Callithrix jacchus: one gene and its partners. The protein of the gene in region 2 interacts with the protein of the main gene of each other region in a pairwise test. Links are inferred from orthologs where the notes say so. Each region holds a gene or a part of one and is shown on either strand. Other genes may lie near its edges.

The links. The genes of interacting proteins can lie anywhere in the genome.
Region 1: the proteins of TFG (region 2) and melanoma-associated antigen D1 interact in binary tests that used the Homo sapiens proteins (3 or more experiments, as listed by UniProt). The two-hybrid records come from large-scale screens. The link is inferred for Callithrix jacchus from reciprocal best matches to the Homo sapiens genes TFG and MAGED1.
Region 3: the proteins of TFG (region 2) and CSTF2 interact in binary tests that used the Homo sapiens proteins (3 or more experiments, as listed by UniProt). The two-hybrid records come from large-scale screens. The link is inferred for Callithrix jacchus from reciprocal best matches to the Homo sapiens genes TFG and CSTF2.

What each region holds. Positions count from the first base shown.
Region 1 is NC_133524.1:52,176,704-52,179,692, reverse strand, and holds the end of melanoma-associated antigen D1, read right to left. Parts: intron 2,902-2,989; coding exon 2,787-2,901; intron 1,546-2,786; coding exon 1,168-1,545; 3' UTR 1,160-1,167; intron 953-1,159; 3' UTR 744-952; downstream 1-743. UniProt on the Homo sapiens protein: Involved in the apoptotic response after nerve growth factor (NGF) binding in neuronal cells. Inhibits cell cycle progression, and facilitates NGFR-mediated apoptosis. May act as a regulator of the function of DLX family members.
Region 2 is NC_133516.1:91,893,559-91,897,571, forward strand, and holds part of TFG (protein TFG), read left to right. Parts: intron 1-2,661; coding exon 2,662-2,808; intron 2,809-4,013. UniProt on the Homo sapiens protein: Plays a role in the normal dynamic function of the endoplasmic reticulum (ER) and its associated microtubules. Required for secretory cargo traffic from the endoplasmic reticulum to the Golgi apparatus.
Region 3 is NC_133524.1:97,137,366-97,141,378, forward strand, and holds part of CSTF2 (cleavage stimulation factor subunit 2), read left to right. Parts: intron 1-698; coding exon 699-821; intron 822-4,013. UniProt on the Homo sapiens protein: One of the multiple factors required for polyadenylation and 3'-end cleavage of mammalian pre-mRNAs. This subunit is directly involved in the binding to pre-mRNAs.

The sequences.
Region 1 (2,989 bases), on a different chromosome or scaffold from region 2:
GAGAAGAAGCCATTGTAAGGCCTCCTTCACTGTCCATAAGACTCTGTCTCTATGATGTGGCCCTGGTCCTCTGTGGGCGGGAGATTGTGAGGGCCTCCTAGAGGACAGGCTCCTGGGCAGCATTTCCAGAGATGGGGAGGAGTACCTGGGAGCCCATCCCTTTATGAGCAATGTGGCTAGGGGTATATCTTCCTTCTCACAGAGGAGACTCTGGCATCTAACTCACGGTGTTCTCTATTCCTACTCCTGCCACTCTCCTGCAGTTATTTCACTTTCCACGTGGGTTGTATAAACACCACCCTGGAATCACAGGCCAGGTACCCTTTATCTCCAGAACAGTCACCTTCTGACCCTTCAACTACCTACTCTCTGGACCTTATCATCCAGATAAGGCTCTGGACTCCAGGAGTTTTGTCTCCTCTGTGTTCTTAAATGCAACTGTCTGAGCACCTATGCCCTCTCTCACTATTACCCTTCTCACAGTGCACTCCGGGACACCTAGCAGCATATGTATCACATGAGAGTCACTGAAGTCATATTTATTGAATAAACTATACTAGTTCTTGGGTCTCGTTGTGTTCATTAATCCCGCCTTTGTATCCCAATCCATTAGCTGGATCTATCCTCATTTCCACCTGCTGAAAGCTGATCTACCCTTCAAACTAGAGCTAAGGTCCTGTCTCTCCTACATGTTGCCTGCTCCCCAAATGTAGGGAAAAAAAAGAAACAGGAGGCACATCTAATTCACTTTGCAATTTCAATGTTTATTTCTGATACCAAAACTTGACAGCACACAAGGGGAAAAAAAGCAATAGACAAGGAACAGCAAATAAATTTATCTTGCATGCCACTTTCAGTCAGTAGGATGTGGCTCTCTAGATAGCTGTGTTTAGAAGGAATCCGAGGATTCAGCCTCACTCAGGGGAAACGCTATTGCGATTGATAGCAATATCTGTGAACATAAGAAAGAAAAAGTAAAAAAATCAATGATATATATCAAATAATAAGAAGTATACATACCAAAGAGTGCTGCCCCATACTTTCCTCATCTCCCCACAATGAGTTTCCTAAGACTTCTAGCTCATACACATAAATACAATCCCATGGACCCCTTGTCCCCCAGAGACCCTAACTGCCCAATCCAAAGTGATATACATACCCAGCATCTCACTCAACCCAGAAGAAACCAATGGCACCAAAGTTGGCAGCAAAGTTGGCACTGGCTGTACCACCAGGACCAATAATGGGACCGGCAAAGGTCTGAGGAAATCTGGAGCGGGCATTCTGGTGGTATCTGGCCCAGAAGGTAAATGGAATTCTGGACCAGGGATCTCCAAAATCTCCTTCTTCATCCCAGGTCAGTAGCTCAAACTCAATGTCATCCCAGCTCCAGGGCCCAGACACAGCCTCATCTCCAATTCCCATGCGGGTTCTTGCTTCAGCCCGGGCTTCAGCCTCAGCTGCAGCAGCATCCAGAGCATCCAAGGCCTCATCTGCAGCCTCCATGAACTGTGCAGTCCAGTCACGAGGGTCTCTTTTCTGAACCTGAGATGAAGAATAGAAAATAAAACAAAATCTATTTACAACAGCCAAGATATAGAATCAACCTACATGTCCATCAATGGATAAAGGAAATGTGATACATACACACAATGGAATACTTATTCAGCCTTTAAAAAGAAGGAAATCCTGCCATTTGCAATAACATGAATGATACTGAATGACATTATGCTAAGTGAAATAAGCCAGTCACAGAAAGACAAATACTGGATGATCTCACTTATACATGGAATCCAGAAAGGTCTAACTCATAGAAGCAGAGAGTAGAATGGTAGTTTCCAGGGCCTTGGGTCAGGAAGGATGGGGAGATATTGGTTAAAAGGTACAAAGTTTCAGTTAGATAGGAAGAATATGTTCTGGAGATTTACTGTATAGCATGATGACTATAGTTAATAATAATGTGTTGTACATTTAAAATTGCTAAGAGAGTACATCTTACATGTTCTCATCACAAAAAAAGTCAAGTATATGAGGCAATGGAGAATTAACTAGCTTGATGTAATCATTCCACAATGTACATGTATTATGACAACATCATGTTGCACCCTATAAATATGCATACTTTTGATTAGTCAATTAAAAAATGAATGGGCTGGGTGCAGTGGCTCACGCCTGTAATCCCAACACTTCGGGAGGCTGAGGCAGGCAGATCACTTGAGGTCAGGAATTCGAGAGCAGCCTGGCCAACACGGCAAAACCCTGTCTCTACTAAAAAAAAATTTAAAATTAGCTGGGCATGGTGGTGACATGCACCTGTAATCCCAGATACTTGGGAGGCTGAGGCACAAGAATCACTCAAACCCGAGAGACAGAGGTTACAGTGAGCCAAGATCGCACCCTTGCACTCCAGGCTGGGCAACACAGCAAAACTCCATCTTGGGAAAAATAAAAATAAATGAATGAAAAAACAAAATACTTAAAAATCACATTGTACACCATAAATATATACAATTTTTGTCAATTGTACTTTAGTAAAGTTGAGGAAAAGTAGAAATACTTTAAAAACCTAGAAAAAAAAACCCAAATTCAAAACTGTATTAGCTAATATATTAACATATTTTAGCACCTAATACATGTTAAGTTTATGTAACAGCAACAACAAATACCACCAGTAATGTGGCACCTACCACGTGCCATACCTAGGATCTCATCCCTGCCCTGGGCCTTCCCTAGCCAGCGATACTTCATCCCTTGACCTATCAATGCGGGAACAGTTCCTCCATTACCTCTGCAATGAATCTCAGCACTTTCATCTTGCTAGTCTCATGGTAGGAACGGAGGCCCCAGAGGAACTCATACTCAGGAGGGTTGCTGTTGGGCACTCGTCTGTAGTCTAGGTATCTGAAAGAGCAAAACAGTCTTTGTGTCTACCTACACAGACAGAATGGTAGTCCGCTAATGAAAAATAATCCTACATTTTTTAACATCA
Region 2 (4,013 bases):
AAGCTGCTGGTACAAGTCCTAGAGTCTAAAGGCCAAAAAACCTGGAGTCTCTTGTCCTGGAGTCTGATGTCCAAGGCCAGGAGGAGTGGAAGCAAGCACCTGGCATAGGAAGAAGAAAGAGCCAAAGATGCAGCAAGCAAACTTATCCCATCTTCTTCTGTCTGTTTTGTCAGAGTTGCACTGGGGGCTGATTGGATAGTGCCCACAACACTGAAGATGGGTCTTCCTCTCCTGGTTCACTGACTCAAATCTCAGTATCCTCTGGCAACAGTCTCACAGACACAACCCAAAACAGTACTTCACCAGTCATCTAGGCATTCCTCAATCCGATCAAGTTGATACCTAATATTAACTTAGTTATATAATAAATTAATTTTATTAGTTATATAATAAATATAATATATAACTAATTAATTTATTATATAACTAAGTTAATATTAGGTATCAACTTGATATTAGTTATATAAATAATAAATTAATTAACTTAGTTAATCTAAACTTTTAATTGAGTATAATTTGAAACATAGTGTTCTTAAGCCCACTAAGTAGATAATAACAGATTATAGGCCATACTAGGAATGTAAGTGCAAGCTTCTTAAAACTTCTAGTGAGATGTATCAGTGTGCTCCAAAGATCACCAGGAACATACCCATAGTAAACGGGTTTGGGTTAACTGAGTTACTGCAGCAAGGGAGAATGGATACCATGGAGAACAATAGGATGTCTTATGGGTATGTTAGAAAAGGATTTTTTTTGTAGGGCTTGGGTTTGTGTTAGCTGATTTTGGGTAAGGTTTGAGGAGGTAGAGCTTTGCTCTACATTGAATGCTCAGGAAGTGGAGATGATTCTATGATTGGGTATCTTACCAAATCTTATCTAGAAGATGAGAGGAATGAATCTTACTAACCCTTACCTGGAAGGTGGGAGGAGTGAAATGAGGCTGAAGCTGCAGTTGGTACAGCAGTAGCAGTCATTGGCCGGGATGGAAGGTTGTTTGGTCATTTTTCTGATGTGGTCAGTGTTCTTGTTTTCATCTGAGTTTTGACGTGATTATGGACTCTTAATCTATTTGTGTAATGTTGGTGTTCTTTGAAATATTTTACGTTCAAAAGGAGAACACCATGGCCTACCTGTGAGCGCCAGGCCTAACTGTACCAGACCAGTTTCTGGCTGTTAGGAGCTGTTTTTCTCCTCAAATATTGGAGGAAAAAATAGTAATACCAAGTGAAAACCAATAACTAATTGATGTAGGTAGGAAATTGTACTGAACTTCATAGCTATCCAGGGAGTGTGAATTACTGAAGAGTTTTCTTCTAAAAGCTTATAATTGGTGATTTGATGTTTGAAACATATTTAACAAAGAATCGCCCTGAACTTTTATCTTCACATAGATGTCCTTTTCTAATTAAGTACTTCAGGAGTTTGTACATATGTATACTGGCAATGCATAAAGCATTTTAGTTTAATTTTTTTGAACTCCTGTCTTGGTGTTTGCCATCAGAGCCTTGTGTCACTTTTTTGTTTTTTCTTTTTAAAAGTAACCTGAGTGGTGGCAATGTTTGTTGCTGAATGAAGGATTTCATTTTTTTTTTAGTCAACTGAAAGTCATTTGGACAAAATGAATAATAATTGAAGTAATGTTGCTTTCATTAAAGAAGTCACAACCAGTGATTACTGAGTAATCTTTGGCATTTTGTGGCTTATATTCTGCCTCTGAAAGTAGCTGCTTTGAAGGACAGTTGTAATGTTGATAAGTTCTGCATATATTTTAAAATGTATATTTATTTAAAAAAAATTTTTGAGAGAAGGTCTTACTCTGTTATCTAGGCTGGAGTGTAGTGGGGTGATCTCAGCAAACTGAACGTCTCCTCCCGGGATCCAGCAATCCTCCCATCTCCGCCTCCTGAGTAGCTAGGACTACAGGCATGTGTTGCCACACTTGGCTAATTTTTTAAGGTTCTTGTAGAGACGAAGTCTCACTGTATTGCTCAGGCTGGTCTTGAATTCCTGGGCTCAAGCAGTCCTCCCACCTTGGCCTCCCAAAGTGCTGGGATTATAGGTGTGAGCCACTATGGCTGGTCCTGCATATATTTTTTTAGCGATTTCTTTTAAGATCAACTATTTTAATTAGTTGTTTTATTTTCAAGACAAAATTATGCAAAGGTGATGATATATCAGTAATGTTATATCTGTAAACATTTTATGTATAAAGTTTTTGTATTATTTTAAGAATAGCATGAAATAAAATGAGGTTTTGAACTTACATGACTTATTAAATTTAGCAATTTCTACTAAATTTAATATATTCTATTAATAGCATGAAATAAAATGAGCTTTTAAAGTTAAATAATTGTTATTAAATTTAATAAGTTCTGTTAAAAAGTAGAGCTTTCTATTGGATTATTTTATTATAGTTGGATTTTCCTACTAAACCTTTTTACCAGCAATGCCATAGGTCTGGCATCAAGAAAGACTGATGAATGCTTCTTTTTTCCAAAATAAGTTATTAGCCATAAAGAATTTCTTTTTTTTTTTTTAAAGTCACTTCTGTATCTTCTTTTTGCTTTTTTTAAAGGAATTGTATGTATTTTTTTGTTGCATATTATTTATATACTTATTCATGAACTTCTCATTTTAAGCAAATAAATGCTTTTATTTCAGTTAATGGCCAACCAAGACCCCTTGAATCAAGTCAGGTGAAGTACCTCCGTCGAGAACTGATAGAACTTCGAAATAAAGTGAATCGTTTATTGGATAGCTTGGAACCGCCTGGAGAACCAGGGCCTTCCACCAGTATTCCTGAAAATGGTAAACTCAGAATCCATTATATTCTGATTTATTGTTCTTATGGTTTTTTTTTGGCAGGTTTTAAAAACCTGTTTTTAAGGAGGGAAGGATGACACCCCCAATGTCTCTCTCTCTGTTTTGTTCCTTCCTCTGCTTCTCTACTAGTGTTTATGCCTGTGTTCCTAAACCTTGCTGTACATCAAGATTGCTAGGAGGTTTCATTATACCAATTCCTGGATCTCATCATAGACTTACTGGAGTGTAGGGCCTGGAAATCCCATTTTTCAGGTTTTTTCTGGGTGATTCTTTTACAGCTAGTCTTGGACTTTGAGGTTTATTACACAGGCTGGTTTTCAAATCCGTTTGACTCATGAACCCTTTTTAATATAATAGATAACTGATTTTCCCCCATTTTACAGATGACAGGTACTATTTGTATTAAGATAAAGCAAGATGTGTCGACATTTGGAATGGACATGATTTTGGACCAAATGTGTTTTAAAATGTGGACTGAAATTTTAGTATGTGTTATGGCTTGAAAGTAGAGTTAAAAAACTGCTTTCTTTTTTTGTTGAAGACTCTTAGATGTTGCATTTAAAGAAAACTCTATTTTTTACAAATTCTTTATTCACTTATAATTTTCATATGTTTAAAACTGTTTACATTGTATAGTAATTTAAAAAATCTAGTCTGGATGGCTGCATATAAAGGACTTAACACGAGATAATTTTTGTGGAAATGGCATGTATTCTATTTTTGGCCACTAAATAATTTGGGAGTTTTTGTTTTCTGTCTTTATTTTAGTTACAGTCTAAACAAAGATGCATTTTTCATCATTTCTCTCTTCCTAACTTCTAATAGTCATGTGGAATTATGTTAATGGTAGATGCTTAATAAATATTTGGTGATTGATTAGTGATTTCTAGTTCCACTTCTATTTCAGAACATAACAGAGATTTGCTGAAATACTATAATGAGATTCTCTTGGTCATTTTATTATGAAACCTTTTATATTTTAGGTCAAAGAAGGTTTCCTATTCTGAACCCTACCTCTCCAAACAAATTGGATTCTTAATCCAATTCTAGATTAAGAATCGATGAAGAATTTAGACCATTTTTCCAGAAGAATTCGTAGATGCTGACACATTTGCATATAATTTCAGGGAATTTAACCATCTGCAGAATGTTAAGAAATGTAGATGAGAATTTAACCAGTATAGCCATTA
Region 3 (4,013 bases), on a different chromosome or scaffold from region 2:
ATAGAGTTCTTATGTTAAATCCTATATGTCTAATTATAAGAAGAGGGAGAGGGACAATAAAGCGGAATAACATAGTAAAACTTCCAAGTTAACAAGTGGGAAAATGGAATGAGTGGAAACTAAATCAAGCCAGCAAAAATAGAGAAAAGGAAAAAAGGAAGGGACAATGTAAAATAAGTAATAATAAGTGTAGAGTAAGATGGAAGGAATAAAAACTAATGTTGTTATTCTGCTAAATATGAATGAACTATTAGATTAAGTTCAAAAGCTCATGAAGAAAACAGACAAAAAAATACAAGGTCCCATGTGTTATATCATGTTAAACTGACATAAAATTGTATTTTAACAAACATAATTAGACCAAACAACAAAAGGAAAAAAAGAAATTTAAAAGCTATATACATTTATTGAAAGTGTATAGATAGGCAATTAATAAGAGTATTGCTCATATACTTGTTCCTTGTTCAACAATTGTAACTAAGAAGATTGAGTGAAATAATGATTTCCCATATGAAACATCTGTATAAACCCATAATGTATTATCAATATTTAAAGTTTTTAATGCAACAAACTTGCTTCTTATTAATTGATCTGTTCTAGGGTAGGTTAGATTACTCAGGATTTTTGTGTATCTACTTTATAATAGAGTTACACTTAGATTTGAATTATCTTTCTTTCTTTCTTTTTTTTTTTTTGAGATGGAGTTTCACTCTTGTTGCCCAGGCTGGAGTGCAGTGGCGTGATCTCTGCTCACCGCAACCTCCGCCTCCCGGGTTCAAGCAGTTCTCCTGCCTCGACCTCCCGAGTAGCTGGGATTACAGGCACGCACCACCACACCCGGTTAATTTTGTAGTTTCTAGATTATCACTTCAATTAGCATTTTGCTAATGGACAAACAAGTAAGAACACTGAGGAATTAAATAATAGGATTAATAAACTTCACTTAATATATAGAGGGAGCCTTATATCTTTTGACTAGAGAATGTACTCCCCACCTTCACTAACCAAGGAACAGTTTAAAAAAAAATTTACAGTACTTAGCCATAAAATTAACAAATTCAAAGATAGGAAGATTTTACAGAGCATATTCTTTGTTTATAAGCCAGAAAGATTAGAAATAAATAATTAAAAGCCAACTGAAAAAAAAAACTTTACTTGTGAAATTAAGGAACATACTCTAATCCTTGAATTAAAGAGGAAATAAAAAGAAATGTATAAAGGACAAAATGCATGTATATTTCATACAGAAAAAGTATGGGAAACAGTGAAGGCAGTGCTTAAAGGAAAATGAATATCCTTAAATACCTATATTAAAAAATAAAGGAACTAAGTACTAGTTGTAAAGAATTTTAAAAAGACAGTAAGCCAGAGGATACCAAGAAGAGGGAATTAATAAAAGTTGAAAGTAAGCATAAAAGAAATTCAAATAATTAAAATTTCAAGTGATATTTTTGTGAGTTTATAGCATTTATACTTAGGAAGTTATTAAAACTTAAAATCTCACTAAGATTTTTTAGTTAAAATGCTCTTTGAGGCTGAGCACAGTGGCTCATGCCTGTAATCCAAGCACTTTGGGTGGTTGAGGCAGGAGGATCACTTAAGCCCAGGAGTTAGAGACCAGCCTGGGCAACATAGTGAGACCTCGTTTCTGGGGGGTGCGGGAAATGCTCTGACAGTGAAGAAAATAGAGGAAAGAAAGAACCTAGTAGAAAAATGGGCAAAGAAAAATGAGTAGGCACTTCATAGAAGAATACATCCAAATTGCCAACAAAACAAAGGCATTTACAGTCTGGGTTACAAATTAAATAACAGTGAGACTTTTTTTTTTTTTTTTTTTCCGAGACAGAGTTTCGCTCTTGTTACCCAGGCTGGAGTGCAATGGCGCGATCTCGGCTCACCGCAACCTCCGCCTCCTGGGTTCAGGCAATTCTCCTACCTCAGCCTCCCAAGTAGCTGGGATTACAGGCATGCGCCACCATGCCCAGCTCATTTTTTGTATTTTTAGTAGAGACGGGGTTTCACCATTTTGACCAGGATGGTCTCGATCTCTTGACCTCGTGATCCACCCGCCTCGGCCTCCCAAAGTGCTGGGATTACAGGCTTGAGCCACCGCGCCCGGCCCTAACAGTGAGACTTTACTTAAATCTATCAGACTAGAAAAGGTTTCAAAGAGAGATGACACTTAATGTTGGTAGAAAAAAATGATACTCATATATGGCTGGTGGAAATGTGGAGTTTTTCAGCCTTTTAAGAAAGTAATCTAACATTAAAAATTTGTATACATTTTGACCGGAGAATTCCACTCTGAGAATCTAGCTCATATAAATAAAAATGCCATTATGTGATAATGTATAATATTAGAAAGTATGCCCGCAATGCCTTCGGCCATTTCTTTCCTTGAATCCTTAATTTTTGTATTGTTTCGGTGATTGGTCTAAATAGAGTGAATAGAATGTTAAGTCTAGAAGAGAGCTTTGAAATAATTTAGACCTAGCTTTCATTTGCATGAATGTTCATGAGACAGTTCGACTAGTGGTTCTCAAACTTTGGTATGTGTTAGAATCACCTGAAGGGCTTATAAAACAAAGACTGCTGGTCCCCACCCCCAGACTCTAATTCAGTAGGTTAAGGTGGGGCCCCGAGAATTTGTAATTCTAACAAATTCCCTGATGGTGCTGAGGCTGCTAGTTCAGACAACTCATTTTCTTTACAGATGAGGAAGCCTGGGAATGTATTGATTTTATCAAATCATTTATTCGGAATTAAAATTACTTAGTAGTAAGGTTAGGGCTAGCACTCAGTACTTTGGCTTCTTAATTCATAGCTCTTTGGTAGTTGGCATATTAAATGAAATAGGGGAATGTGACATGTACTTGCTATTTGAGGGAAGTATTAATGAACAAACAATAGATCAGCTTGTCTTTTCTCCCCACTCACACCATATATTGCTCCTTTGAGGAAAAGAGAATTGCGGCTCTATGGAAAGGACCAGACAAGGACTTGTAGTGCATGATTATTCCTTGTATAGCAGTTATCATTCCCCAGCTCGTTAGACTGGTGGTTCTCAGCCTCGTTAGACATAGTGACCCCCTTTCATAACAGATATTTTGCAATGACTGCCAAAATGAAATGCACAAAGGATATAACCTATGTAACATGATTTCAAAAAATCAGTATGATGTCCTAATTATAAAGAAGTAAAAGGACATTAATTTGTAATACAAAAATTTAATAAGCAAGTGATTAGGCACCACTACACCAGGAAACAAATGTAATAGTCAGATGTTTATACCTACTTCATGAATGTAAAAACTGGAAATGCAGAACAGATTACAGGCATATTGTTTTGGCAACTCAAATACCACAAGGACTTCGACATCAGCTATGTGATTTTCTGAAATGGTAAAATCTCATGTTAAAGTTATTAAACTGCAGTACTCATAATTACTCAGTAATTGCATTTCTGGAAAATTTAGTGTGTGTGTATATAAATAAACAGTACAAGGAACCTTTGTGTTTACAAATACAACAGACTTAGGTTCCAAGTTCAGAAGACTGTAAGTTAGTTTTCATTTGTGTGAATGTTCATGAGACATTTGAAAGTTCAGGATACAGGGTAATTCTTGATTTTGTGGAACTTATACATTGCAGAACATCTAGTATCCCTGGCACTTTCTCATTCAAAACTAGCCATGGCCCCACAAATCTTGTCACAACCAAAACAGTATACCCGCAGAATTACAAAATATTCTAGAAACGGTACTGCCTCTCATGAGAGGAGGTCCATGGGTAAGTGACATTGTTTTCCTGTATTATAGAGGAGCTTCCTGCCAAGAGTTTGGTAACCAATGGGATTAATTATTCTTCTTGAACTCACTATTCTGTCACTGAAACATAATATACATTGTAAATATACTAACACACCCCATCTTCTATCTCATTGCATTGTTGAATATCTTCCTTTGTAGGTTTCTGCTTGTGGAACAGAATGAAGAAATTTGTAAACTCAGCCA